Mus musculus: one gene and its partners. The protein of the gene in region 3 purifies or fractionates together with the protein of the main gene of each other region. This does not show direct contact. Links are inferred from orthologs where the notes say so. Each region holds a gene or a part of one and is shown on either strand. Other genes may lie near its edges.

Region 1 (3,600 bases), on a different chromosome or scaffold from region 3:
GGAAGGAAGGAAGGAAGGAAGGAAGGAAGGAAGAATGAGGTGGTTGGCGAGGTGGGGAGCCTTTTGGAGGAGTTTGGAAGGGGAAAGCATGATTGGGATATATTGTATGAAAACAAATGTTAATAAAAAGATCTGGTGAAATTAGTTTTAACCACATACTCATATCCTAGCCTGATATACTGTCCGATTGATTTATTATATAGGAACTGTAAAACTATTATTTATCGAAATGATAAAATCTATATAAAACAATGAAACTATTTCATTTTTTTTTCATGCTAAATCCCTAATGACTGCTAATGGTCAGTTATCACACAGTTTATATTTAAATATTCTGGTGATTAATCGAAAGGAAGCATTGCTTTCTCCCTTAGATTCTGATATCTTCTATGGTGTTGCCCCTAAGTCCTCGTCTTTTCTAGAGATAGGCTATGCACAGCATCTCCCTGCCCTCTCCAGGTGCTCCAGCACAGAATTCTGAATTCGGAGAAGACAGAAGTTTCTCCTGAACTTTCCAACTGTCATTTCTCTCCTGCCTGCTAGGTTGGGAGTTAACTGTATTTGATTTCTGTTTTAAAAATTAGTGGAGTACGTTGCATGACTCCAACAATAATACAATAACCACAGATCACAAATTCAGGGTAGAACATGTTGCTTCATGCCAGGGTATACCACACAAGGAAGTCTTTGGCTTCATTGAAGAAAATCTTGCAGTTTAGACTAGAGTAAATTCGTAGGTGGTGGAGGAGAAGGAAATGGCCTGTTATTTTTGCCATGCTTCCCGGGAGATATATACAGCAGGTTCTTAGAGGACTTATTTTAAAGCAGCCCACCAAAGTTTCCCCTTTGGTGGAAAATCTCAAATAAGGTGTCCAAAATGAAACCTTAAAAAGGGAACAGGAGCTCTCTGTGCTCCAGAGGTGGCGCTGCGAGGGTGACGGAGTTAATTAGTGCCTGCAAAACGCGGTTTCTGAGCTCATCAGAGAAGTCATGCTCATCCCACACTATTTATAACAGAGATGAAGTGTGCATACTGTGTGACATTTCCCTCTTTTTAAGTAGGGGACTCCAAAAAAGTCGTGGGCACCCAGTCCTAGGCACTGTGCAGGGGGGCGGGCAGCAGTGCGGGGGCGGGCAGCAAACGCGCCAACAAACGCGTGTCCGCGCGCAGGTGCCGGGGGCGGCGGCGGCAACTCCGCATCGGCTGCCCAGAGTTCGCGGCAGCTCGCGGGATGCTCCTAGATGCAAGATGTGTCTCTGGCCAGCAGGAGGAAGGAAGAGGAAGTGAGAGCAGCGGCAGCCGGCGGCAGCGGCCAGCGACCCGAGTCTAAGTGCGTGCGTTCGGGCAGCGGCAGCGGGCGAGGATGGGCACGAGATAGAGGCAGAGCCACCGCCGTCCGCGCCTCCGAGAGCGGCGACAGAGCCTCGGGCACCGGTCTACGTCTCCTGCCCCGGCGCTCCGGCCTCTGGGAACCCTCGTTGCGGCGTCCTGAGACCCCGGGCAGGTTTGTAAAGTTTGCTGGGCTGGCGCGGCGCCCGACTCGCTGACCTCGGCGGCCCGGGCGGGGGCCAGGGCAAGACGAGGGCGCCGCGGAGGCACTTTTGTTTCCTCCCGGGGCCCCGCGGCGCGGGCGGGTGGGGGCTGCGGGCGCCCTGCAGTTGGGAGGTCTGGGCAAAGGGGCGTCCCGAGTGACTAGAGGTACGGGGTGGGGAAAAGCGGACACCGGGGGCAGCGCCGGGATGGGGCTCAGTGCAAGGACCCGTGGAAACGGCCGGGGCAGAGTCGGCTGGAGGGGGCGCGGGCGGGCTGCGCCACCGGCGTAGGGGTGCTGGGACCTGGCAGAGTGCTCCTGGGACCTTGCGGCCAGCAGTCGTGGGGCTGGAGAGTCAGGAAGCGGCTCCGAGTTTACCAGCGAGGACACCGGGGCTCTCGTGTGTCGCAGACGGGAGGGGATCCCCGGAGAGCGCGCTCCCGAGATGGGGCGGGATGAGCTGCGGGGACCCCTGAAGGCGTTCGCTAAGGAAGACCCGCCTCCCGGGGCCGTGCGGGGCTTCCCTCTGGGCGGCTGGGTCTTCGATAGAGAGAGGCTAGCGTGGGAGGGGGCGTACCGCGCGTCTTCCCGGGAGAGCGGCGGGCATGGGGCGCCAGGGAGGGAGCGAGCGAGCTGCGCGCCGCGGTAGCCCCGCGGCTTAGAGGAAGAGGAAACCCAGAACTCAGCCCGCCGCGGTGCGCTTGTGTGGGGTTGGGAAGTCTGTGCTGTGCTGAGGGCGCGCGCCAGGCTTATATTTGTGTGTGTGTGTGTGTGTGTGTGTGTGTGTGTGTGTGTGTGCTGGCGCGCGTCATTGCGGTGGGGGCGCTCTCCTATTGACCCCTCGGGGCTTGGGGCTCTCGTCCACTGACTCTTCTGCCTGGGGCCCTTTGAACTAGGCAGCTGGGGCAAGGGTTGTTGGACTTGGATTGACCCGACGCTGCAGAGTTTGGCCTCAAGCAGGGACAGCTCCGAGGGCCTCTGGACAGCTCCCGAGGCGCTTTGAGCTCAAGGAAATGCACCCAGGGACTGTGGACCTCCTGCCTCTGGCCAGTAAGGACAACCTAAGATACAGAAAGAAAATTGTGTCTTGAGGGAAACCAGGGAAGAATTTCAGATTTTTTAAAAATTTTATGTACAAAATAAAAATAACTATCGTTTACATACTAAAAATCTTCGAGAGCAACTTGAGACTGGAAAATCCAGTTTACTTGCAATAATCGTTAGATTGGGAAAGCAGGCAGTAAATCCGGTCCACTAAAGGCTTCTGGTTATGGTCTTCACGTGTCTCACCTCTTCAGTAGCGGCCAAGGTCATTTCAAGGATTACTGGTTTCACTCTCTCAATTTGCAGGAGTGGGGATCGAACCTGGTCACTTGAAGGCTCGTAACACAGATTCCATACTTTTATTTTCTTGCCTGCCCTCACTCCCTCCTTCTTCCTTTCTCTCCCTCCCTTGCCCTCCCCTCTTTCTTCTTAGCTGACCCTTTGATCTTCTACTTGTCACTATGCTCCATTTGCTATCCTTCAGCATTGTAGTTAAGCGTGTACATGGCCTTTCTGACTGTATTTGCTACTTGATTCTTGTTAAGTTAGATGGTGTTATGATAAACTGACAGAATGACCTCAATTGTGGGGCCTCATGGTGAGGAAGTAGGGTAAGCTGGAGAAAGTTGGGGAACAGGAAGCTTGGGGACACCATAGTCTGTGGAAACTCAGTGCCTGAACAGTCACTGGGCCAGAGATTAGGTGGTCACATGGTGGATGACCATACCCACCACAGCAATAGGCTCTTGTTAACTGCGGCAATTTTGACTTCCTTACATTTTTTTTCATGTTTACTGCTTTGTCACCCCAGGACCTTTGCACATGCTGTTCTTCTGCCCGAGGTGCTCTCCTCACATGTTCAGATGACTCATCCTTTGCCTCCACTAGTTCTCAGTTTAAAAGGCCTTGGTGGCCTGGGTCTTCTTAGGTTACCAGTCTCCCTCTCAGTATTTCTTTACTAGTTGGCATTATTTATTCATTTATTCATCTGCTTATCTTATCGTCGTCTCTCCCATTAGGATGG
Region 2 (10,815 bases), on a different chromosome or scaffold from region 3:
CAGCAGAACCTAGACTGACTTGTCTCTTGTTTGAATTCCAGCAAATCCCTTTACGAGTACTCCAAGGACTTTGTCGTGTCGCTTATCCTAGGGATGGATGTGATCCCCAGGTCAGTGTGCGTTGAGGTTGGCCCAGAGGTCCAAGCTCTTGTCAACCCCCGAGTGCTGAGCTCAGTCTGCTCTCTCTACCAAACAGGTTAAGTGTGACCAACATGGAGGACCTCAAGAGGAGGATCCTGAGAGTGATCGCTAACTGCAATAAGCCGAAGGTAACAACGGCTCAGCCAGGAGGAGGCATGCAGGAGGGGTCCCACACAGCGGGGCAGGCCGGTGCAGTGGCTCGCAGCTGCAGCCTCTTGGCCAGCACACTTCCTGCTCTGTCTCCTTCTGCCCTGTGAACAGACCTCTGTGGGATTCTGCTGTCTGAGATGCAGAGTGACAGCTGGGAAATGCTACTGTCCAGGCTGCTGTGACCATCCTCCCAGGCTTTCAGTGACAGTGTTCCCAGCCTTAGACAAAGGCTGACGCGTACAGACTATGAGAAGTTCTAGGGCCAGCTTGCTTGCCAGACTGTCTGACCAGCATTCACTCCTCATGGTTTGGGGAGGACCTCCCTCCAGTCTTCATCTCCACACACATACAATTAACTTTAAAAAAGAAAAAAGTAATTACAAGTGTTAATGGCAGAGGCTTGGGAGTGTACTCAGTGGTAGAGCACTTCCTTAAGCATTCAAGAGGCTCTAGGTTCAAACCCACACCCACAGGAAGAGAAGACAGGACTTTAGCCAATAGAGGCTGATAGCCATGAGGGGGGCAACAGTTAGCGTTGGCCTATAATCCCAGCACCTGGGAGACTGAGGTAGGACTGCCAAAAATGTGAGGCCGGGCCAGGCAGAGCAAAAGGAAGCTAAGGAGGGGGCAGGGCTGGGGCTCAGTGGTAGACCAGTTGCCTAGCATGTGTGAGTCCCTAGTTCTATTGCCATTGGGTAGTTTTAGAAAGGGAAGGAGGGAGGGAAGCCTAGTGGGTAAGCCATGTGGCACCAAGCCCAGTGTGAGGACAGCCCTTGGAACCCAAGGGGGTGGAGGAGACAGCCAGGTCCCACAGTTTGTCCTCTGACCCTCTACCCTCACCATACACATGTGCCATGCCAACCACAGAAACACATAAAATAAATGTGATCAATATTCATAAAGACTAGATCTGTGTCCGTGGGAGTTTTGACAGTATTCAAACCACTGCCAAAGTGTGTATCACGGGCTGTAGGTGCTTTTATTTTCTTGCCCTTTAAAAAAATGCTGTTGCTAACCAGAAATTTTAATATTCGCTTCTTACCAGACATCTAAGGTTTTTGTTTTTGTGAGACAGGGTTTCTCTGTGTAGCGCTAGGCTGTCCCGAATCTCCCCCTGCCTCCTGAGTACTGGGATTAAAGGCCACCACTGGCTTTTTTGTTTTTGCTTGAGATAGGGTCTCAGGTAACCTGGGCTGGCCTTGAACTGTGTAGCCGTTGACCATGAACTTCTGCCTTTACCTCCCAAGTGCAGAATTACAGGTGTGCACTACCGTACCTGGTTGTATATGGTGCTGAGGATGGAATTCAAGGCTTTCTCGATAATAGTTTTTTAGAAAGTAGCACCCATCTCCTGGGTTAGCTCAGTGATACAGTCTTAGTACGTATACGTTTTAGCTTTGGGATCAATCTCTAGCACACACACACACACACATGTAAATACACATATATGTATATACACACACATATACACACACATACATATATATATATATATACACACACACACACACGTGTGTGTGTCACGATTTGGGTTTTGGCTATTGCTCCAAGTACGGTGGCTCTATGGTTGTGGTAAAACAGGGCTGCCTGAAGGCTGCCACCCAGCACCAGACCAACCTAGCCCTTGGATCTCGCCTTTTAGTACAAGATCTTGCTGCATGGCTGTTGGTACGGACTGTTCGGAGGAAGCCCTGATAACTTTCCAACTGAACTGGATGAGGGCACCCAGGGGGCCCTGACTCAGCCTCTTCTTGGAGAGCAGACACTTCTAACCCGATACTCCCCGGGCTACTGTTCCAGCGACTCCCCACTGGACTCCCCCACCAAGTACCCCACTCTGTACCCACCTGGCAGGATCATCCACCTGGAAGAGGAGGGTGGTTCAGGGAGGTGAGTATGGTGACCCTCGAGTCACGCCCACCCACTGAGGGCGACTCAGATCTGCCCCATGTGGAGCCTCACTAATGGATATTCTCTTCTGTTCGAGGTTTGGCTGCTGTTCTGCTGCCCAGTACAGAGCGAGGTGGGCACACGAAGCAGAATTCAGTAAGATCCTGATAGGCCCAAAGATGCTGATTGACCACATGCCTGACGTCATGATTCGGGCCCTGGACAGAGTGCTTGCCGACAGGACAGCCTGCGTCTCCTGCCCAGGGCAAGGCGGCTCAAGTGTACCGTAGTCAGCTCTACTGGACCCTGACCGGTACAACGGACTGGCAGTTTCAGGAGGTTTTTTTGTTGTTGCTTTTGTTTTTTTCTTAAGACTGATTGACTGTGCGTGGCTTCTGTGAGGCTGGTATGGTGGTATCTGTCTATCAACAGTTACCTGAGGGGTCCCTGCAGAAATGGACACCAAAATGACCATACAATTTATACAACCTTTTCTTTCTTTCTTTCTTTTTTTTTTTTTTTTTGCTTGTTTTGATTTTTCAAGACCGGGTTCCTCTGTGTGGCGCTGGCTGTCCTGGACTCACCCTGTAGACCAGGCTGGCCTCAAAACTCAGATTTGCCTGCCTCTGCCTCTGAGTGTTGGGACTAACGGCATGGGCCACCACTGCCTGGCCTATGGAACCACTTTTAACCATAGTATTAACAGGATCCGGAGTTGGGAACACGCATAGGTGTTGGGACTTGTAGGCCAGCCCATGGCATAAGCCACCTAAGAAGTCTACATCTGAAGACCCTTAGTGGGTCTGCAAGGCCCCTGCTCCTGATGGGCTCCCATCCTGCTGTTTACACGAGTCTGAACTTTAAGACAACAGATGAGCACTTTATACTTGCCTGCGTCTTTCCGGGGTCACTAGGACAGCCTGAGTGTCCTCTGAGCTGGCACTGCAGCCCCTCCCTCATGGATACATGAGCTAGCTGATCACTAACTCTTATGTATGCTTAATTCTCACATTATCAGACCTCTGAGCCAGGTGGTAGGCTCAGGGGAATTTAAATAAATAAATAAAGTAGTTGGTATACCATCAAAAGCCTGCAAGGAAGGTGTGGGATTCCTGAGAGCCAGGAACTTGCTGAGTTCCAGTGTGCCATTTCCCCGTGTCAGTCAGGACACTGGGATTACAAGCATGGACTACTGTACCCAGGGGTGATGAGGTTTCACCTTTCCATTCTAAATCAAGTTGCCTTGTCTCTCTGGTTACTAAGAACTACATACATTACGGAATCCAACAAGCACAGAACACAATTAAAAATAAAAAAAAAATCCAGAAAACAACAAAAAAGTATGGTGGTGGCTTGGGCCTGTTATCTTCACCACTTAGATGTGGGCAGGAGGACCAGACACTGGAGGTCACAACTTTAAAGGATCCAAGCCATCTTTTGCTACACGAGATGTTGTCTCCAAACAAATCTCCAAAGGGGGGCAAGTAAGCCTGAAGGGAAACCCTGTAGGATACTAAGTATACCTGTAGGGGGCGCATTGTTATCCCAGCATTCAGAGCAGGGGCAGACCATTCTCTGCCAGCTCATGCACAGCCTGTTCCAAAGTGAGTTCTAGGCCAGCCAGAATAACCACACAAATGATGGCGGTCAGAAATCTGAGGGGAAATCCAGGACCCTGGATTTAAGGTGAAAGCCCTCAGAGACACAACTGTCATCTCATGTATGCCCTGGAGCTATGATGGGTATAAAGACTTGATGGTCAGGTCAACAAGGCAGCCAGGATGGCTTGGCTAGTGTCGCACGTGTGAGGACTTGGGTTCGAATCTGCTGGAGAGCGGTTAAGAGGCTCCCTCAGTGGACCAAGAGCCACGGCTGACCGTCGTGGTGAAGGTGCACGTCAGGATTTAGACTGGGAAATGGTACAAATTTTAATCCCAGCACGAGGGAGTTTGAGGCCAGCCTGATCTATATCCCACAGAGAAATGTGCGTGCACACACATGTAATTTTTATTTAAAGATTCAAAGTTTAAGAATCACCAATGAGGGCTAATCCTAATGGCCGTCTAACTGGTTGAGATGTGGTCCATGCTAAGCCCCGTGGCTCAGCTTCCCCATCTGCAGCACTCAGCCCTGGCACACCTCCCAGACACACGGCTCAGGCAGACATACCCCACTGTGGGGAGCCCCACACAAGCACCTCACGACGGCTTAACAACGGCTCAAACCAGCCCCACTCCACAAATGTGGCTGTGGGCTCACCTACCCTATTCTCTGAAGGTGGGACTCCATCCCTCCAGTGATCCAGGGTTTAAAAGTAGAGCAAACACGCCAAGAGCTTGTCAAATTCCAAAAACACAAGCATAACCAGTTGTATGATTCAAGGATTTATTAATTCATACATGCAAAACATACTGCTAACTGCATTAGCAAAAGATCAATGTAAAAACACTCCACAATTCTGCAACTGTCAATTGAAAAAAGTTTGTTCTAGTGGTTGAAAGGCCCAACACTGCATTCTTGCCAGTGAGTTAGGTTGTACAGGACAGCGTTAGCACTAGCAGTTGACAGAACCTCACAGACCCCAAGGAACATCTCTAGGCAGAGCCATGACAGGAAGCGTCTGTCCACGTGGGCGAGGTCTAGAGGCAGCATTAGTCACATGACAGTGTTGGTACTGTTTAGAAGGTTCATAGTTTAAGAATATCTAAAATAGTTTAAAAACCGTAAAGCTGCAACACATGATTTGCACACCTAGTTGCTAGGAAACTAAGGAAGCACTAACTAGCTCTGAGTAAAGTAAGGCGAAAACAGGACGCACTTCTACTGAGCTACCAAAAAAAAACAAAAAATCTCTGCGTTATCAGAAAGATCTTATAGTACAGGTCAGACATATTGCTCGTTAAGAAGGGGTTCTAAAGAAAAGCACTTGCTAAGTTAGAACTGTGAGGGTGGCCAGTTTAAATATGGACTCAACGCCCCATCTGGGGAGGGACGGCAGTGGAGGGTGGGGGGCGCGAAGGGATGCTCAAGAGACACTGATAAGATCGGCCATTTGTCACCTACTGTTTGACAGAAATTAACCGTTAAAAAGCTTTACCCGTGACACTTTTATTCAGTTGAATTACTCCATGTACAATGTAGTGTAAAGTAATCTCTACTTCATATTAGTCAAAATACTGTCTGTCTCCTTTGATCATGTCGTGTTTCACACTCCACCCAGCACACCCACAACTAGGAACAGAATACTTCATTAGAGGCAACACAGGAACCAGAGTTCTGTTCAAAGTCTGCAAAAGCTAGTCGGCTGGTCTTTTAGAAAACTCACTATGAAATCAAAGAGCTGAGCTGTCACACTCATCACTGTGACGTACAGTACAAAGTTACGTAATGAACATGGGCTGATAAGTTACAGGTGCGTTACATGGCAACGTGTCATTAAGGAGGCTGTGCTGTGTCACACGGTCTGGGAACTCTGGAAGGGTCTGCACCCCTGGCTCCAGAAGCTGCGGTCTTCTTAGCAACAGAAGTCTCTCAAGAGAGTTTAGTGCTTAGGTGTTCTCAGCACAACGCAACTTAGTTCAGAAGGTATTTTGGCAATTTTTAATCTGAGCAAGAATGGGGGATTTTAAAAATAAGGCTTTAAGAAGGCTTTGTCATTTTAGGGCTGAATTTTAATAGACTGTAAGTTGGAATTCTTACATTTAAAACAGAACCTTAAAATTATTGACTGGTTCATTGGTTCAAAATGGTTTTATGGAAAAATTAATCTGTAACAAAAACTTGGCATCAAATGCGAAGGCTCGCTGATTTTTGAGCAAAGCGTACAAAGGTTCCAGGCAGGACCGAGAACGAGGGGCTCCGACATTTACAACAGCAGGCATTTTCTCTTCCTCTTCTTGACAGGAGGGGGACAGAGAACCGCTCGGATAGCTTCGTCAAACACTGTCTTGAGTCCTCGCTGTGTGAGAGCTGAGCACTCCAGGTATTTGACAGCACCTAGAAAAGACAGCCACAGGCAATGACAGATGTTCCGCAGGACAGCCCCTGAGTCAGCATGGCGTGGCCCAGCAGTCAACTCCCACACCAACAAAGGCCTGGCCTGGCTGGTTGCCCAAAGCAAAGAGACCCCAAGAAGGAGAAACTTCCCTCTCTCAGGTGGACTCCAGCTGCCTGGCACCAGGACTGCAAGGCAGACACAAGAAATGAGGGTTTCATACCGATCTCTTTCGCCATGGCCAGCCCCTGCGGGTAGGTGATGGGAGTCAGCTTCTTCTCCTTCAGCTTCTCAATGGTGTCCTTATCATCCCTAAGATCAAGCTTCGTCCCCACGAGGATGATAGGAGTATTGGGACAGTGGTGTCGCACTTCAGGATACCACTACACGTGAAGAAAGAAACAAGGTGAAGCCCCTCCCCTCTTCTCTCTGCCATCCTTCCTTCCTTCATGCAGCTTATGTAAACACAGTGAGCACCAGCCCTCCAGCCACAGCTGGCCCCAGAGCGTCCCTGCCTTTTCCTGAAGCCTTAACCACACATACAATGGCTCGCCAGGCTCCCAAGACAGGGCAACACAACAGACTACCTGTAAAGGACCAAGGAAGGAAGATGAGGGAATGTACCCCCAATCTATAGGATCACCCTAGAAAACTCACCATCCACTCAGGGACCATTATCCCCAGCATGGTGGGTCCCAATCTCTACACCACCAGCGTCCCTCACCCCTTCTCACTAGATTGGTTCCAGATGCTGGAGCAGAAAGAAATGGTCACCAGACCACTTCTGAAATACTTGTCACTGCAGTGGGGACCGTCCCAATGAAGCTCCAGAGACCCATCCCCCAAAGTCAGAGACTTAAAAATGGCCCACAGAGCTACTAAAGCCAAGCTAAACACCCCAAGCTCCCAGCAGCCAACGGCATTCATTGAACTGTTTATTATTCTTGCTAGGACTGACAGTATGCAGCAATCTTCCCATAAGTCCCACTTACCTTTGCACGGACATTTTCAAATGATGCAGGACTCACAAGGGAAAAGCAAATTAAGAACACGTCCTACAGAAAGGAAACACAGGCAATGTAGAGGGCAGTCTTGGACTGTGGGAGCACTCTGCCTCACGCCGATAGCTAGCGAAGCACTGTCAGAGAGAGGCACTGCGTGCCTACTGCTACCTGCAACTAGGTCCTCGCTGCTCCCACCTACCTCTCCAGTCGGCCAGAGACTCAAAACCATTACCAGGCCTGCCTTTTGAAAAAGGGGACATGGAAGAAGAAACTGCTGGAAGCTGTTTGATGCTAGGGAGGGATCAAATCACATTCCCAGGAGGCCGCTTGCTAATCACGCCCAACTGGAAACCTAATTATCTGCTATCAACACAAATTCTTCTGAAAACCATGGTCTCTCTGAGGCTCATGAATGCAGAGTCGATTTAAACACATCCTCCAACAAGGCACGCTTTTCATTAAGCTCCCCACATGCACCGTAAGCTCAAGGCTCCTGACATCTCGAGCGTCCATCAGCCAGCTTGTCACTGTCCTTGGCACAAAATGGAGTTCAAGAGTTTGCTCCCCAGCCTTCCAGCCAGGGAGGGGACTCAGTGTGCCATCTCCCAGTAGACAAGCACCAACTACTGCACCATCTTCCCAAGCAGAGTCAAGGGCCTCTGGAAAAGCTGCCCCAGTGTATCTGTGGCCCCAAAGAAAGCAAGGACAAGCAGGGCAAGAATCTTACGTCAGGAGAAACTGCCGGCTCAATAGAAAATATCTGAGGTTTCTTCCTGTTATTACACATAAAGTAAAATTCAGATATTTACCTGTATAAAATTATGCCCAAGAGTTTCTAAAATGTTAGGCTTATCAAGACATAGCCCTAGAAAAGGCAACTATGCTATTTGTGAAATGTATACAGTTCCCAAGCTAGCACCTTCAACTATCCAGCTGGTATCTTGTACCTGAAAAGGAAAGAAATGTCCCACACAACAGCTTTTTATAAACAATGGTTTACTTCAATGCTGGCGCATGCACAAGCCTATCAGAGAATCACCAGGGCCTCCCAAGCATCCAAGTTGATTCCACACCCTCTCAAAGCACAGTTGGGTTAGCTCACCAGCGCTGCGCAGCCCCCACAGCCCACCACACAGAACACCAGAGTCAGAGAAGAGGCCCTGGGAGTGGTTAGTCTGGGTGAGCGAGAAAGCACCCACATGAGCACCAGTGGACCCTCCACACCTGCACCTCCAACCGTCCCAGAGAGGGGCTTCCGGACACCCCTCCTTTCACATGGGAGGACGGGAGCAAGCAGCTCATCGGCCACTTTATAACCCACTGGGAGTGAAGTCACAGGCCAGAGGAAGCTCATTTTATCAAGAGCAGCCTCTCCTGAGTGAGTCGGAGGAAACACTCAGGGAGCTGAGGCTCAGCTCTTCCTGGAGACTCAGTGAGATAAGAGAAGAGACAAAGCTGGAGGCTGAGGTCGACTCAAAGTCTTACATACGGCAATCGGCTTGTCTTTGCCCCTGGAGGGTCTATCTTTACCACATGTGTCTCCAACCTAGTAATGCAGGAGAACTTTGCTTGAGTTCGATATAAACTAAGAAATACAAAATCAATATAACCTGTTAGTTTCCACACACGTTTGTCTCAGCCCTCCTGAGGAATCCAAAGCTGTGCATTCATGTAGGTCACCTTGGAAGCTGAGAGCCACACATCATTACTCCATGCAGCTGGAGCTGAGGAGCTACCCACCCCTGCGGTTCAGTAAGGAAGTCACGGGAAGGCTGGGCCTGCCACCACGTCACTCCCGCACTTGACAGAATGTAACACACTCACAGAGCTCAGCGTTCAGAAAGTGGCCTGTTGCCGGCATGCAGTACTGACAAGGTCTTCAGAGAACTCCACCTTCTCAGAGATAAGCCAAGAGAACCTCAGAGTCGGGGGAGACGCCTGCCTGTAGGCACAGCGAAGCTTTCCAGAACAGAGCCTAAGGGATCCAGGCTGGCGGCCTCCTAGCCCCGCTCTGGGAGGGAAGAGTGGCTTCAGACTGGAGTAAGTTCTTGAAATGAACTAAGGTCCCTTGGGGGGGTTGCTAAGGAACTCTGTAGGTGACAACCTTTTCCATTTTCATCATAATACTTTCCTTTTGTTTCTATACTCAGTAAAAATTGACAATTTCCCAATATGAAACCCCAGAAATTCTAATAAAAAACAAGCGCAGTATGATTTTAATTTTACCTCACTCAAGCTTGTATTTACAATCAAAGAGTAACAATCTCCAGACTCCTGGTTTCATCTGTGGGCTATTTCTAAGGGTGTCCTAAGGGCTTGACACAATAGACCCCACCAACAAAACAAAACCATCAATCCAGTGTTTCATGTTGTGACAGTCTTCAGGATGGCTCCAATATTGCTGGAGCACCCTCCAGCCCCTCCACTCCACTCCACAGTCCTTTAGTACCTTCCCGATGGAGCAGAGATGCACAGCTGGACCACAGCGCCACCCTAACTCACGTGTGCATTATGCCATCAGCCTCCTGCTCTCTTCCCTTTTCACCCCCAACTTTGGCCTAAACACAACTGTATGACATTAGTCGGCATCTGATGCTTTCTCCTAGGGTTAACCCCTTGTTCCTGTACCAGGGCAAAGGGGCTGTGCTGTGTCTCTGCTCCTCCCTGTCCCCTCCCTCTCGGTGGCGACCATCTTTCCTGAGGGCCTGACTACTACTTTCCTAGATCACCAGGACCTTTGTGACGCCAGCCTTTAATGAGAGTCTCCAGTAACTTTAGCTCCCACGTCACCAGCCACGTCCCACGTCAACTCCTCAGCAGTCAAAAGTACAGCAAGGGCTGAAGAGCGTTCACTTAGGGACATGCTTGCAGGGCAGGCATGAGGAACCCTGGGGTAAGCCCTGAGTCCCAGCAAGATACTGGGACTTAAAAAGCAAGGTGTGTCTTGAGGGACAACACCTGAAGGTGGTCTCTGTCATACCCAGATGCAAACACACACAGAAGCATATACCAACTACAGCTCGAGTGGTCCCACCTGCCACCTGTCCCCAGTGGGAGGCAGCTTTTACAATGAAAAAGGGCAGGACAAGAGGCGCTGGAGCACTCACCACCAGACACAACACACACACACACACACACACACACACACACACACAGAGTATCTGGACTTGAGGCTCACACGTGGATTTCTCCTTTCCTTTCCTTTCCTTTCCTTTCCTTTCCTTTCCTTTTCTTTCTTTTCTTTTGAGGCAGGGTTTCTCTGTGTAGACCAGGCTGGCCTCGAACTCAGAAATCTGCCTGCCTCTGCCTCCCGAGTGCATGGATTAAAGGCGTGCACCACCACGCCTGACTTCTCGTTTTTTTTGTTTGTTTTTTTTAATATACAGATTCCACACAACAGGGAAAAGGACCAGGGCTTGCACACACAACAGAGAAAAGAAGAATTGTAAAAAGCTGGACAAGTGTTCCCCAGAAAAGCCACCCTGGAAAAAGGCAGGCAGCTGGCCTGATGCTGACAGCTACACTGGAGTGCAGATAGATGTTCCTATAAAGGCTCACAAGCTCTCAGGCCTCCACGGGACTGTGTTGATGAAAAAAAGACTACACGATCATGTCCTAAAGCCAACGTCACTTCAT
Region 3 (11,308 bases):
GGCTCATAGAGACTAAACTACCCACCAAAATCATGCAGGGGCTGGACCTAGGCCCCTTACACATTTGTAACAGATGTGCAGCTTGGTCTTCATGAGGGTCTACTAAAAATTAGGATGGGGGCTGTCTCAGATCAGACTCTGTGGCCTGCCACTGCATCCCCTTCCCCTAGCTGGACTGCCTGGTCAGGGCTCAGTGGGAGAAAATGTGCTAATTCCTGCTATGACTTGATATCCCAGGAAGGGGGTAGTACCCAAGGCAGGAGTGGGGGGGGGGGGTCCCTTCTGGAAGGAGCAGGTAAGGGGATAACCAGGGGAGGGATGTGTGAGGGTGGGACTGAGAAGAAAGAAGGAAGGGAGAGGGCTGTGACTGGGATGTAAAGTGAATGAATAATTAATTAATTAAAGAAAAAAGTCTACACTATAAAAGCACAAGATAAAATATTCATCCTCAGTCTCGGGGCAGAAAGTAAAAAGAAATATAAGTAGATACTCCAGCTATCAAGTCAGAAAGCTGGTCCTCAGGCGACTGCAGAGGCCAGAGTGTGGTGCCAGGAGGCAGTATGGAGGAGCCTGCACTAGGCCTGAGTCAGTGGGGAATTTCTGTGAAAGCAGCAGAGATCTCTCTCTCTCTCTGAGGCCATGATAATGGACCTCCCATGGTCCAACTACCTAAGACCAGAGGCCTCCCAGGGCCTCTGCAGCAACTCATGTGGGAACTGGGCAGCACTGTAGCATACAGGGTCTCACCAGCCAATCACACAGCAGGAAGAAAGAGGCTCATCTCTCAAGAATTCAGGCAGCAACAGACCAGAGAGACTAGAGTTTCTCTCCTGGTGATTGGTATCCAGCAGTACTAAGCCTGCAGAGTACCAGGGAGAGGAGACAGGAGACAAAAGGAACAAAGGTCAATCCAAATGGGTAACCAAGGATTCAAGTGAACATCAGAGTGACCAAAGATGAGATTTAGCCGGAGAGGGACAACAATGTCCTCACAGCCAGAGATCTAAGTGCAAGGGATAGACAGTGGCCCAAATGTCCTCTCACTTCACACATGGCACCTCCAAGGTCAGAGAACTATCAGATCTGTTGTCCCTAATCTGACGTGTAACATGACTCCTGAGATGTCAGTTAACACCATACACCACTAACCAAAGAAAAAAGAATGATACGGGCACAAAAAGAGTACCACAGCATCAGCAGGTACCATGACCACCAATCTGCCCACACTTCATCACATAGGACTTCCCAGAACTTCATCACAACCAAACCAGGAAAAGCTGGGCAAAATCCCCATTTTAATCTACAGAGGGAGAGACTGTCCGCCTCCGGCTAGATCTCATCTTTGCTTTCACAAACCTAACAATGCTGTCACAAAGAACGTATCAGCAGGATCTCTGCAACGATCTAATACCCAGAGAACCTGCAGTCCCCAGGCCTGAAGAAGAAACTTACATTATCATGTCACAGATCTCTCTGATGGCTTCAGAAAAGAATAAAACACCCAAGATAAAAAAGGAAAAAGAAAAAAAAAATAGTATTTGCCTAAAACTGCCATGCAGGTGGGAGCAAGCAAAGGAAAGTTCTAATCCACTGAAGCATCCTGAGTATCTCAGCTGGACATGCTAAGGATGTGAGAGGTTTGGGGAAACAGGAGTAAGTTACACTGTGTGCTCAACTCTCGGGGGTGGAAATGCCAAGCTTACCCAGGGTACCTGACAGACCAAACCAACCCTCAACATCTCACCTCACCATGGATAATAATGACACAGGGACAGCCCACTGGAGAGCCTAACAGTACAACAGCCTAACGGTGCAACAGCCTAAGTCTCCAAGTTTGTGACTGTGAAAGGGACACAAACCATTATTATAAATTTGTCAAAACCCACAGAACGAGGCCAGGAGGATGACTCAATAGGCAAAGTTGCCTGACACAAGCATGAGGACCTGACTGTGACCTCAGCGCCCAAGGACAAGTCTGGAATGGTGGTGTGTGACTGTAACAGGGCTCTGGGGTGAACAGGAAGGCAAGAAGACCCCTGGGGCTCAATTGATAGATCAATGAGAGCCAGGTTCAGTGGGAGACTTTATCTCAAAAAGGTGTCAGACAAACAAGTGATTGAGGAAGACCCCTACCTTGGACCTCTGACTTCCATATTCACACACACACACACAGACACACACAGACACACACACACACACACACACCCTGACAGAATACACAATGCCAACGGCAAATGTTCCTATAAACCATGGACTTCTCCTAGAGAAGTCACAGTTTTCGTTGAAGGCCTGTCATAAAGGCAACATTCACTGCTGCTACAGATGAGGAGGAAGCTGGCGCGGGGTAAAATGTATGGGAACTGTTTATTTTCAGTCTAATTCTTCCAAAGCCTATAATTTGTCTGAAAATAACAGTCTATTTAATTGAGTAAAAATTAAGTGCTGACTTTCTGGTAGCCAAGAAAAAAAAACTGTCACTGATCACTGATCATACAAGAAATAACAGCTAGGTATCAAGAGTCAAAATTCTCCTCATATACTACACTGTCAGCTTGAAACAGCCTAGTATCAACTGAAAATGGTGCTTCAGTTGAGAGTCTTCTTTATCGGGTTGCTCTGAGGATATGTCTATGTGGGTGTCTTGATTCATAATAGAAGTAGAAGAGCCCAGCCCACTCTGGGTGTTACCATTCCCTAGGCAGGTGGTCCTGACTCATAGAAGGAAGGTAGCTGAGCATAGCCGTGAACAAGCAAGAGGGTGAGACAGCAAGCAAGTCCTCTACAGCTCCTGTCATGAGTTCCTGCCTTGATTCCCCACAAGGATGAATTGTGACCTGGAAGTGTGAGCCAAATAAACTCTCTCCTCTCTAAGTTGTTCTTGATCATAGTGTTTTATGACAGCAACAAGATAGAACTAGAACAATGTGATGCTTGAAGATCGGGGAGATAAAGTGTCAGAGAAGTCTGGTGAAAGAATTGCCCTGCAACTATAAGAAAGAAAACTGCTTCCCAGCATTATGAAGAACATGCCTGACATTGAAAGATGTCATCTCTAGTGGGGACACTTATTGTTCCTTGACACAAATAACCAGAATCTTACTTTCTTGTACAGCCACCACCACCAAGTAGAGATGTGGACATCAGCAAGCTCATGGCTAGCTGTATTGTGCCCTCATTTAGCGCCTCATCTTAGAGCCAGGCTGTGCCTGTCCACCACTCGGCAAGCCTCCCGAGTGCTGGCTTCTCCACAGTGTGGGAAAGTGACTCACTGTCTCTCTCAGTAAAACCTGGGATCTGCTTTCAAACCAGATGGACCTGAAGCATCCTAGACACAGCAGGTGGACTCCAAACTGTACGAAAAAGAACTAAGACATTGTTTTCCCCCCAAGCAGTTAAAGGCATAAATCAAAATGGCCCACTATCTTTTCTCAAAGTGAATGGTCTGAAACTAGCAAGGAAAAACAGGGATGGGAGTATTTACCAGCCACGCCGAAAGGTCGCCGCAGCCCCGAAGTCAGCTTCCTCGTGTTGCTGTCCCTCAGCTCCATGCGACCGACACGGACAATCTGGCAGACGAAACTAATTTTCTCCCTTTTCAAGTCTTTGCTCCCCAGATCCTAAAAATATGAATTTTCATACATCATTGTGGAGAACTATGATTCAACACAAGTCCAATTGAAAAGGATAAAAATGGACTAAGAGTCTGTTCTCAGACCAGCTTAGGGTATTTTAAAGTTACTTACGTGACAGGAAGGAATAAAGTAACAGCAGACACTGAGCTAAGCGACCTGGACACTAGCTCAAGCGACAGGAAGGAATCTCTCTCCTAGCCGTACTAAGTCAAGAGCAAGCTTAGAAATTTTCACAATGGGCTCAGGGATTCCGGGATTAGCCAGTGTCCCAGGTGGCACCACCACCACCCCATAGGAATCATTCAGTGCTAAGAAGTCCCCAAAACAGCCATCAGAGCAGGACTCAATGACACTCAACATGTACAGCCATGGGTGCACTCACCGTAAACACAGCTCGCAAGTTATGTAACCGATCAATATCTTTTGGTAATCCTGAACTTGACCAGCGGACCAGATAGTTCTCACTTGAAAAAGAAAAAAAAAAAAAAAAAGAAAAGAAAAAAGAAAAAAGAAAAAAAAAAAAAAAAACAGGATCAAATTAAACTCCCAAACATAGACGGGTACTCAATGTATCCCATAAGACTTCATAATTAACAATATGAAGATCCACTATGCATCTGACCCCTGAGCTTACAGAGCCTGAGCTAGGCCACAGATAAACTCTTGGCGGGGCAGGTAGGGTATGACCAACCATTTCCCTTTCTACACCATGGGTTAACCCGTGTAACACAAGTATTCGCAAATGACATTTCAATATTTATAATGTGAAAAGCCTCTCTGAATGTTTAGAATGACAACAATACAGAGCCGAGTATTGAATTGGGAACAATGTATATTTAATTCAGAGCCTTCGGAAAAAGCCGAGCAAGCCGTAAAATACAAATTGTACCTCCATCAAAAAGAAAGAAAGCACTTATCAGAAATGAGAGTGAAAATCACCTACGTGCTCTGTTTCCTGCAAACACTACATTTTCAAATTTTGATACTTCAAGTGAAAATACAGGAGAGTTTGATATATAGATATGCACACACTTCACACAGTCTAATCACATTTTTTTTTTAAATCAGGATAAAGATAAAGTTATATTAAAGACTGATGGGTTTCCAACGGTTTTGTTCAACAGATGTTTATTATGACTCTTCGTATGACAAGAGAAAATACTTGGCACACACAACTAGCCAAACAGCTCAGAGAGACAGCAAAAAGTTGAAAGCCACAGATGGCATTCCTAGACAAAACGCTTGCAAAAAAGTAAAGGTGAGGCTTGTGGCCAGAAGAGCCATGGGGAACAACGTGTTCACCTCCCTGTACTGCCTACAGTCCTGCCTGAAGAGAAGTCAGGGCTGGAACTCAGAGGCAGGCCCTGACGCAGAGGCCATGGAGGAACATCGCTTATTAGCTCGTTCTTCTTGGCTTGCCCAGTTTGTTTTTTAAGTAACCCAGGGTCATCTTTCCACAGTAGGCTGGACCCTACCATAGCAGTCATTAATCAAGAAAATGCTCCCACAGACTTGCCTATAGTACGATTATGGTAGAGGGATGTTTCTCAATTAAAGATCCTTCTTCCCAGATGACTCCAGCTTGGTTCAAGTTGACAAACTAACCAGCCCATTTCCTTCAGCTGAGAGCAGCTCCCACAAGCAGGACCTCACCATGTTGGGTCTCATCTTCCGACTGTAAGTCAGAATAAACCCTCCCCAGTGCAGATTCTTCTAGTCAGGTATTTTGATCACAGCAATGAGAAAAGCAATTGATAAAATACCCGCAATGGGGAAGTCACCTACCTGATGAATTTGGACTCCATGGGGTCATAAAGAGACATGAGAACTTCAGCATCTTCTCCTATTTTACAAACCACATTTTTGAGGTTAACAAACAAGGCCAGCGATGGGGTGGCTGCAAACTTGGCTTGTCTGTTGATATCCATGTTCTGCTTTTGAGACTGAACAGAAAGGTAGAAAGTCAATGTGAGCAACCTGGACTATAACCAAGGCTCTTTTATTTCCCCTGTAGAATAGTGAAAAGACACTGCCAACTGTCACATCTCATGCCACTCATACAGTCACTCTGTGTCCCCACTGCATGCTCTCAGACAACACACTGCCTATCCAGCCACAGCTAATGACTAGTGTTTGCAAGAGCATGGGCCTTCCGAGTGTCTATCAACAACTGGAATGACGGTTGCTGGACTGGTAGCTAGCTTTAATTTGGGGTTCTGAATGATTGATGCCCCCAAGAACTCTGTGTCTCACTCTGCATTATGTTCCCAGTCCCTGGAACATGGCAGACGCCTGGCCAATACTTGCTGAATTAGTAGGTTATGTTGACTTTACCCCACTCCTCCTTGTCTGAAACACGCTGGACACTTGCTTTTTGAATGTTCTTTTTAGTGTCAATTCTGGACTTCCTTAACATTTTCTGATATTCAACATGGTTGGTGAGAAATACAAGGAGGGGGTGCCCCCTCCCTGAACCCCCACACACCCCACCCCCTGCCCCATTTCCACCTGCTGTGCAAAGTGGCAAAGTGCACATTAAGGAATGGAACCTACTTTCTCCTCTTGCAGTCTCTCCTCCACTTGTTTAGAAGCAACTTCGTGTGCTCGGAAGAGACTGATGGTGCTAGTTAGTTCCGGGTCCAAAATGTTCCCATCTTCATCCCTCACCACCAGGTCCAAATCAAGAATTCTAGAATACCAAGAATCCAGAGCATGGAGAGCATGAACCAAGAGAGGGGGTCCCCTAGCACAGTGTCAGGCCCAGCCACAGAGCAGATGAAATGCCTCAGAAACTGGGACCCATCCACAGATATCAGAGAATGCCATTCTGTGGCATGGCTTTCTGTAATTCAAAATATGTCACACTGGGAGAAAGAAAATGACTCAGTGTTACCTATATTTCAATAAAGCCTTCACCTTCCAATAGACCTTCAAAGTCCAAGTGAAGTATGCATGACTAACAACTGTGGAAGATGCGGGTCATTAGAGCCCATTCTGCACCCTCACATGTATACGACCCATGGGTACATGATGGCAGAAAGCCTCTGAAGGATCGAGGTCTATGTAACAACTTTCACTAACAGGACAAAGCCTCTCAAATCTCACCAACTCATCCCAACCCTGAACCTGCTCTAAGACTCAAGACCAAGACCATGGGTCAGCATTTTATGAATGATGTCAGTGATGTATGGGTGGGGTCAGCTCTGATGTGGGCGTGGTCAATGAATTGTAGGTGCTGTGGGTGAGCTCCTGGAGGCCCAGGCTAAAGGCCTGACAAGCTATACCTGGTGAGGCCACCTTGAGGAAGATATATATCAGGCCCTTTGCCAGCCCACCATGAGTATCATGTGATGTCATTGTCACCTCAGTCCAGATAGAAAATCTGGTCAGACCCACTTCACAAAACAGAAAACCGAAGCTCAGTGAGGTCAGTTATGTAGTTCGGATAAAAGATAGAAAGAAGATGGGGTGGCAATATTCTCACCACAACATCATCACCATATGAGGTAGCCTGTCAGTCACAGCAACCAGTCTACATGGGTCTCTGCAACCAATACACAGTTGGTTCTGTTGTGGAGTGTTGGCTTCACCATAACAAGGTTAGAGACTAGTCCCAAGAGATGGCAAAGGGTCTAAAGAAGGGGATGGCCACCTCCCTGTGAAATCAGAGTGTGTGCGTGTGTGTGTGTCTGTCTGTATCTATGTGTGTATGTGTATGTACAAGCAGGTTTCTATGGATAGGTATGGTTGTGGACCTGTCTGGTGAATCCGAGTAAAGGTGTATGCATGTTTGTCTCTGTGTTTTACACAGCCATCTTTGTAAAGAAACAGTCCGTGACCTTTACCATATTTCCCACAGTTCCCTAGACACTCCACAACCCCACCCGACTCAGGTAAAAGGTAAAAGCAAGAATACGTATGTGATAATGATGAGAGCAACAAACTGCTCCCTGAGAGACGAGACCATCCCAAAACCAAACACTCTATGCTTTTCTTTATTATTATTATTATTATTATTATTATTATTATTATTTATTATTATGTCACTCTCTGAAGGGGGGAGGGGGAGGATAAGCAGAGAGCATGGGGCTTTAGAAGAATCCTGGCCTGCAGTCCTCAGGTGAACTTGTCTTAATAAGGTTGTATTTCCTATCAAAGCAGTAAATTACATTTGGAAACACTTTCTGTCTTAACAGGATTGTTCCATGGCGTAACGTACTTAGGCTGTTTCCTGCAGCCAGATTAAGCAGGTGGTCTCTGAACCTAACTTTGAAAACAGGCTTCTCCAATACAAAATGAAATCAGAGTTCCAAAGGTTTGCTTTTGTAAACACACAGTCTTGAAACAGGCTTCATTGAATCAGTATCTAATGCCCTATATCTGGAATCTCTGGCCTTGGAGGCATACAATCAATCAATCAATTAATCAATCAATAAATAAATGCCTTTGCTCCTCACATTTTAGCCCAATGCCGCCACCATATGATGCAGCCTGTCAGTCACAGCAACCAGTCTACATTTGGTCTCTGCAACCAATACATAGCTGGTTCTGTGCAGGTGTTAGTCTCACCTCAACAAGATTAAAGACTAGTCTCAGGGGATGGATGCCACCTCAGGAAATCAGAGTGTGGGCCTGGGTCAGTAGCTTTTGAAAGCAGGTAGTCTTGTAATGGGTTTCATGAAAGCTGTGTCTAATACTCTATATCTGGAGTCTCTGGCCTTGGAGGTAAAAATAAAAGTCACACCTAATGTGATATTAGGAAACTTTCATACATTAAAAGGGGAATTGTCAGAAAACAAAATTATGCAATAATTCAGTTATTCACAAAGGCCCTATGGCTTGTCTAAGATTCTGAGCTGATGGGCAGGAGGCAGCCCCTGTTCTCACCTCCACATCCTCAGGTGTAAAAATGGGGAAGGGTGCAGACTACACCTTAAGTTTTCCACCACCCAAACAGCAGTCTGACTGAGCTCTTAACCTAGACCAGACAGCAGAACTCAGAACCCAAGGGGCAGGTCCCCGGATTGAGTATAGTGAAACCTGCCCAGGTGTTTCTGAGGTTATAGGGCCTGAGGAAAATGCAGGACCAGGTCATCTTTAAGGCTTCTTGCAGTGTAACATGTGAATAAGCAAATGGGTACCAGATGGGAAAGGCCATAACTTCATCCTAACTACTGATATAGCAGAGATAGAACCAAGACAGTCACATTCCCAGCAGCTAATATTAGAGCATGCTGTTTTCAGGAGTGAGCCATCTTTCAAGACACTCAACTAAACCAGGGTGGATGTCTCCCATAAATGGAAACATCTCAAAAAGGCAACGTATAGTTCATCTCAATTGTAAGTTAAGAGGATTGTGCCTCTGTCTGTTAGATCAAGCATGTCAACTCTAGGGACAAGTTTCATGGTGACTTCTAACGTCTAGTCTGACAGACCAAGGGACTACAGGAAATAATCTAGAGTCAAATGCTATGAGTAGAAAGTAAAATTATAAGTAGAATATCATAACAGGGGTGGGACAAAACAGCAAAAATGAGGGGCTACCCCAACCCAGCTTCACAACTCCCCCACTTACACAGCAAAGACTACAGGTTTCAAGGGTGACAGGATAAACCAGATTAGAATGTAAGCCACTTCATTATTTTGATATTAGAAGTTTGGTTTTATGATAAAATGTAATTGAACCATCCTCCAGGCCTAGGGTTGTGCTATTACTGTGGAAAATTTAAGCATGAAATCACCATTTGCACAAACAAACCTGTTTCCATAATCAATTTTGGCTGTGACCTTCTTCTTCAGCTCTTTGAGCTCATCCTGGGGCAGAGTTCCAGAAAGGATCTGCGACCGCCATTCAATAAGGTCATAGATCATGTGTCGCACACTTCGAAACATCTCTCTATTATCTTGCTACATAGGAGAGAAAGTTAAAATGTAAGGGCTCTGATTTAAAAAACAAAAAGAAACAAACAAAAACAAAAAACAGCACAGTGGAGATTATGTCAAATGGATCGTTCTTCAAACTAAAGTAGAATATGCTCTGCTTCCTGGGATCCAGTGACTGTCAAAGAAGAGCAGGTTCACACATCAAACAGAGCACATTGTATAGGATTTGGTTCCTATGAGACCCTGAAAGAACAAGAAGTAAGCCACGTCCTCAGCATTGAACACAGCAAGAACAGAACCTTGAGCCTCAGTCTGGCCTGGAACTCGAAGCAGCATCCTGTGCATGACCAATGCATGAAGGCAGCCAGATAGCTGAGGATAGTTTCCAACACAGAACTATAAACTCACCTAAAACATTAGGAGATTCCCTCTTCAAACTTCATTGCTCCATCGTGGAGCCTGAGCTTCATAGTTAGCAAAGACTGGCATGTCACCATGTCAAATATTGGCTATGCCTGGAAGCACTGACTGTTGTACTCTCTTCCCATGACAGTTCTGCCCCATTGCTCACCTGGAGATGCCTGGGTCCCAAGACCATGCTGCCAGCTGACAGATAAGCCATCTTGTACCAGCCTTCCCTGGTACACTGTGACCCTCACAACATACAGCGGCAGAAAATGTCTATCCATGGATACTCTTTTTGCTTCTACATCAACTTGCAGTAAACTGCAAGATAAGATCCCAAACTGACCCGTCTCACCTTTTGTGTATTGGGTTTGTGGTACAAGAACCCCCACAGGTTTGCACTTGTTGATGTAGCTCATCAAGAAGACTAAAGTTGTCTACAATGTTCAGCTTCTCAACATCCAAGTGGGAGTTAATTAATAATATTTTAAACACTATCATTGTTCAAAAATTAAAATGTAGAATTGCTGTTTTTAAAAAGGAGCTCTGGTCTGTATTATCTGAGATACTCCCTCCTCACTAGCTCCTATTTTGAAAACCATTTGAAACCCCTCTTTAGAAAAGTTTTTAAAACAGCCCTACCACCTACCCAACACACAGCACTCTGACAAGTTATATTATTGTGTGTGTGTGTGTGTGTGTGTGTGTGTGTGTGTGTGTGTGAGGGAGGGGGTTGTTACAGCAGAGGCTAGCAGAGGGCATCTGATCTCCTGGAGTTGGAGTTAGAAACTTCCAGATACAAGTGCTGACAATCAAACTTTGGTCCTCTAGAAAAAACCAGCAAGTGATCTTACCTGCCGAGGCACCTCTCCAGGCTGTTTGTACATTACCCTCGTTCTATTCCTGCCTTTTTTTCTCCTTCTTCCCCTTATTTTTATTTGTTGCTGTTGTTTTGAGACAGAGCGTCATGTAGACTAGGCTAGCCTCAACCTTAAACTATTCTTCTAGTCACTCAACAAGTATTTTTTGAGACCAAACACTGTGCCAAGAACTGCAGTGGTGTGGGATATTTGATCCCATTGTGACCCTCAAGACTGTGAATTGGATACACCGGGTTGTAGTGTAGCTCAGCCCTAACAGACTCCTTTAACCCCAGAGCTAAATAAAGTCAAGTCTAGGTCAAGAGGCAGGGCAAGAAACCAGCTGACAGGGAGTGAGCGTAAGTAACGGAAAGGAGGGACTCTGTGTTGGGAGGAATGTGTTTAAGGGCATGAAGAAAGAAAAGAAACCTTCTCCTTCCGGGGTGTTTGAGGCATAGGAAGGTCAGCTGGGCCCTTTCTCTGCCTCTCTCAGGGAGCAGGCTTTTACCACAGTGTTTGGCTCCTGAG

What was found.
Region 1: the proteins of Dock1 (region 3) and Elmo1 purify together in Homo sapiens (affinity purification with western blotting; 12 studies listed by BioGRID and IntAct, counting the BioPlex papers as one, with this or other methods). This does not show direct contact. The link is inferred for Mus musculus from reciprocal best matches to the Homo sapiens genes DOCK1 and ELMO1.
Region 2: the proteins of Dock1 (region 3) and Rac1 purify together in Homo sapiens (pull-down; 6 studies listed by BioGRID and IntAct, with this or other methods). This does not show direct contact. The link is inferred for Mus musculus from reciprocal best matches to the Homo sapiens genes DOCK1 and RAC1.

Annotation. Positions count from the first base shown.
Region 1 is NC_000079.6:20,089,267-20,092,866, forward strand, and holds the start of Elmo1 (engulfment and cell motility protein 1), read left to right. Parts: upstream 1-1,240; 5' UTR 1,241-1,505; intron 1,506-3,600. UniProt on the Homo sapiens protein: Involved in cytoskeletal rearrangements required for phagocytosis of apoptotic cells and cell motility. Acts in association with DOCK1 and CRK. Was initially proposed to be required in complex with DOCK1 to activate Rac Rho small GTPases.
Region 2 is NC_000071.6:143,500,929-143,511,743, forward strand, and holds the end of Rac1 (ras-related C3 botulinum toxin substrate 1), read right to left. Parts: intron 8,726-10,815; coding exon of another isoform or gene 8,669-8,725; intron 7,231-8,668; coding exon 7,168-7,230; intron 6,559-7,167; coding exon 6,399-6,558; intron 6,178-6,398; coding exon 6,047-6,177; 3' UTR 4,553-6,046; downstream 1-4,552. Other genes in the region: Daglb (diacylglycerol lipase-beta), read left to right, coding at 42-110, 197-269, 1,934-2,181, 2,279-2,471. UniProt on the Homo sapiens protein: Plasma membrane-associated small GTPase which cycles between active GTP-bound and inactive GDP-bound states.
Region 3 is NC_000073.6:134,739,217-134,750,524, reverse strand, and holds part of Dock1 (dedicator of cytokinesis protein 1), read right to left. Parts: intron 9,540-11,308; coding exon 9,391-9,539; intron 6,322-9,390; coding exon 6,186-6,321; intron 5,576-6,185; coding exon 5,418-5,575; intron 4,097-5,417; coding exon 4,015-4,096; intron 3,618-4,014; coding exon 3,482-3,617; intron 1-3,481. UniProt on the Homo sapiens protein: Involved in cytoskeletal rearrangements required for phagocytosis of apoptotic cells and cell motility. Along with DOCK1, mediates CRK/CRKL regulation of epithelial and endothelial cell spreading and migration on type IV collagen.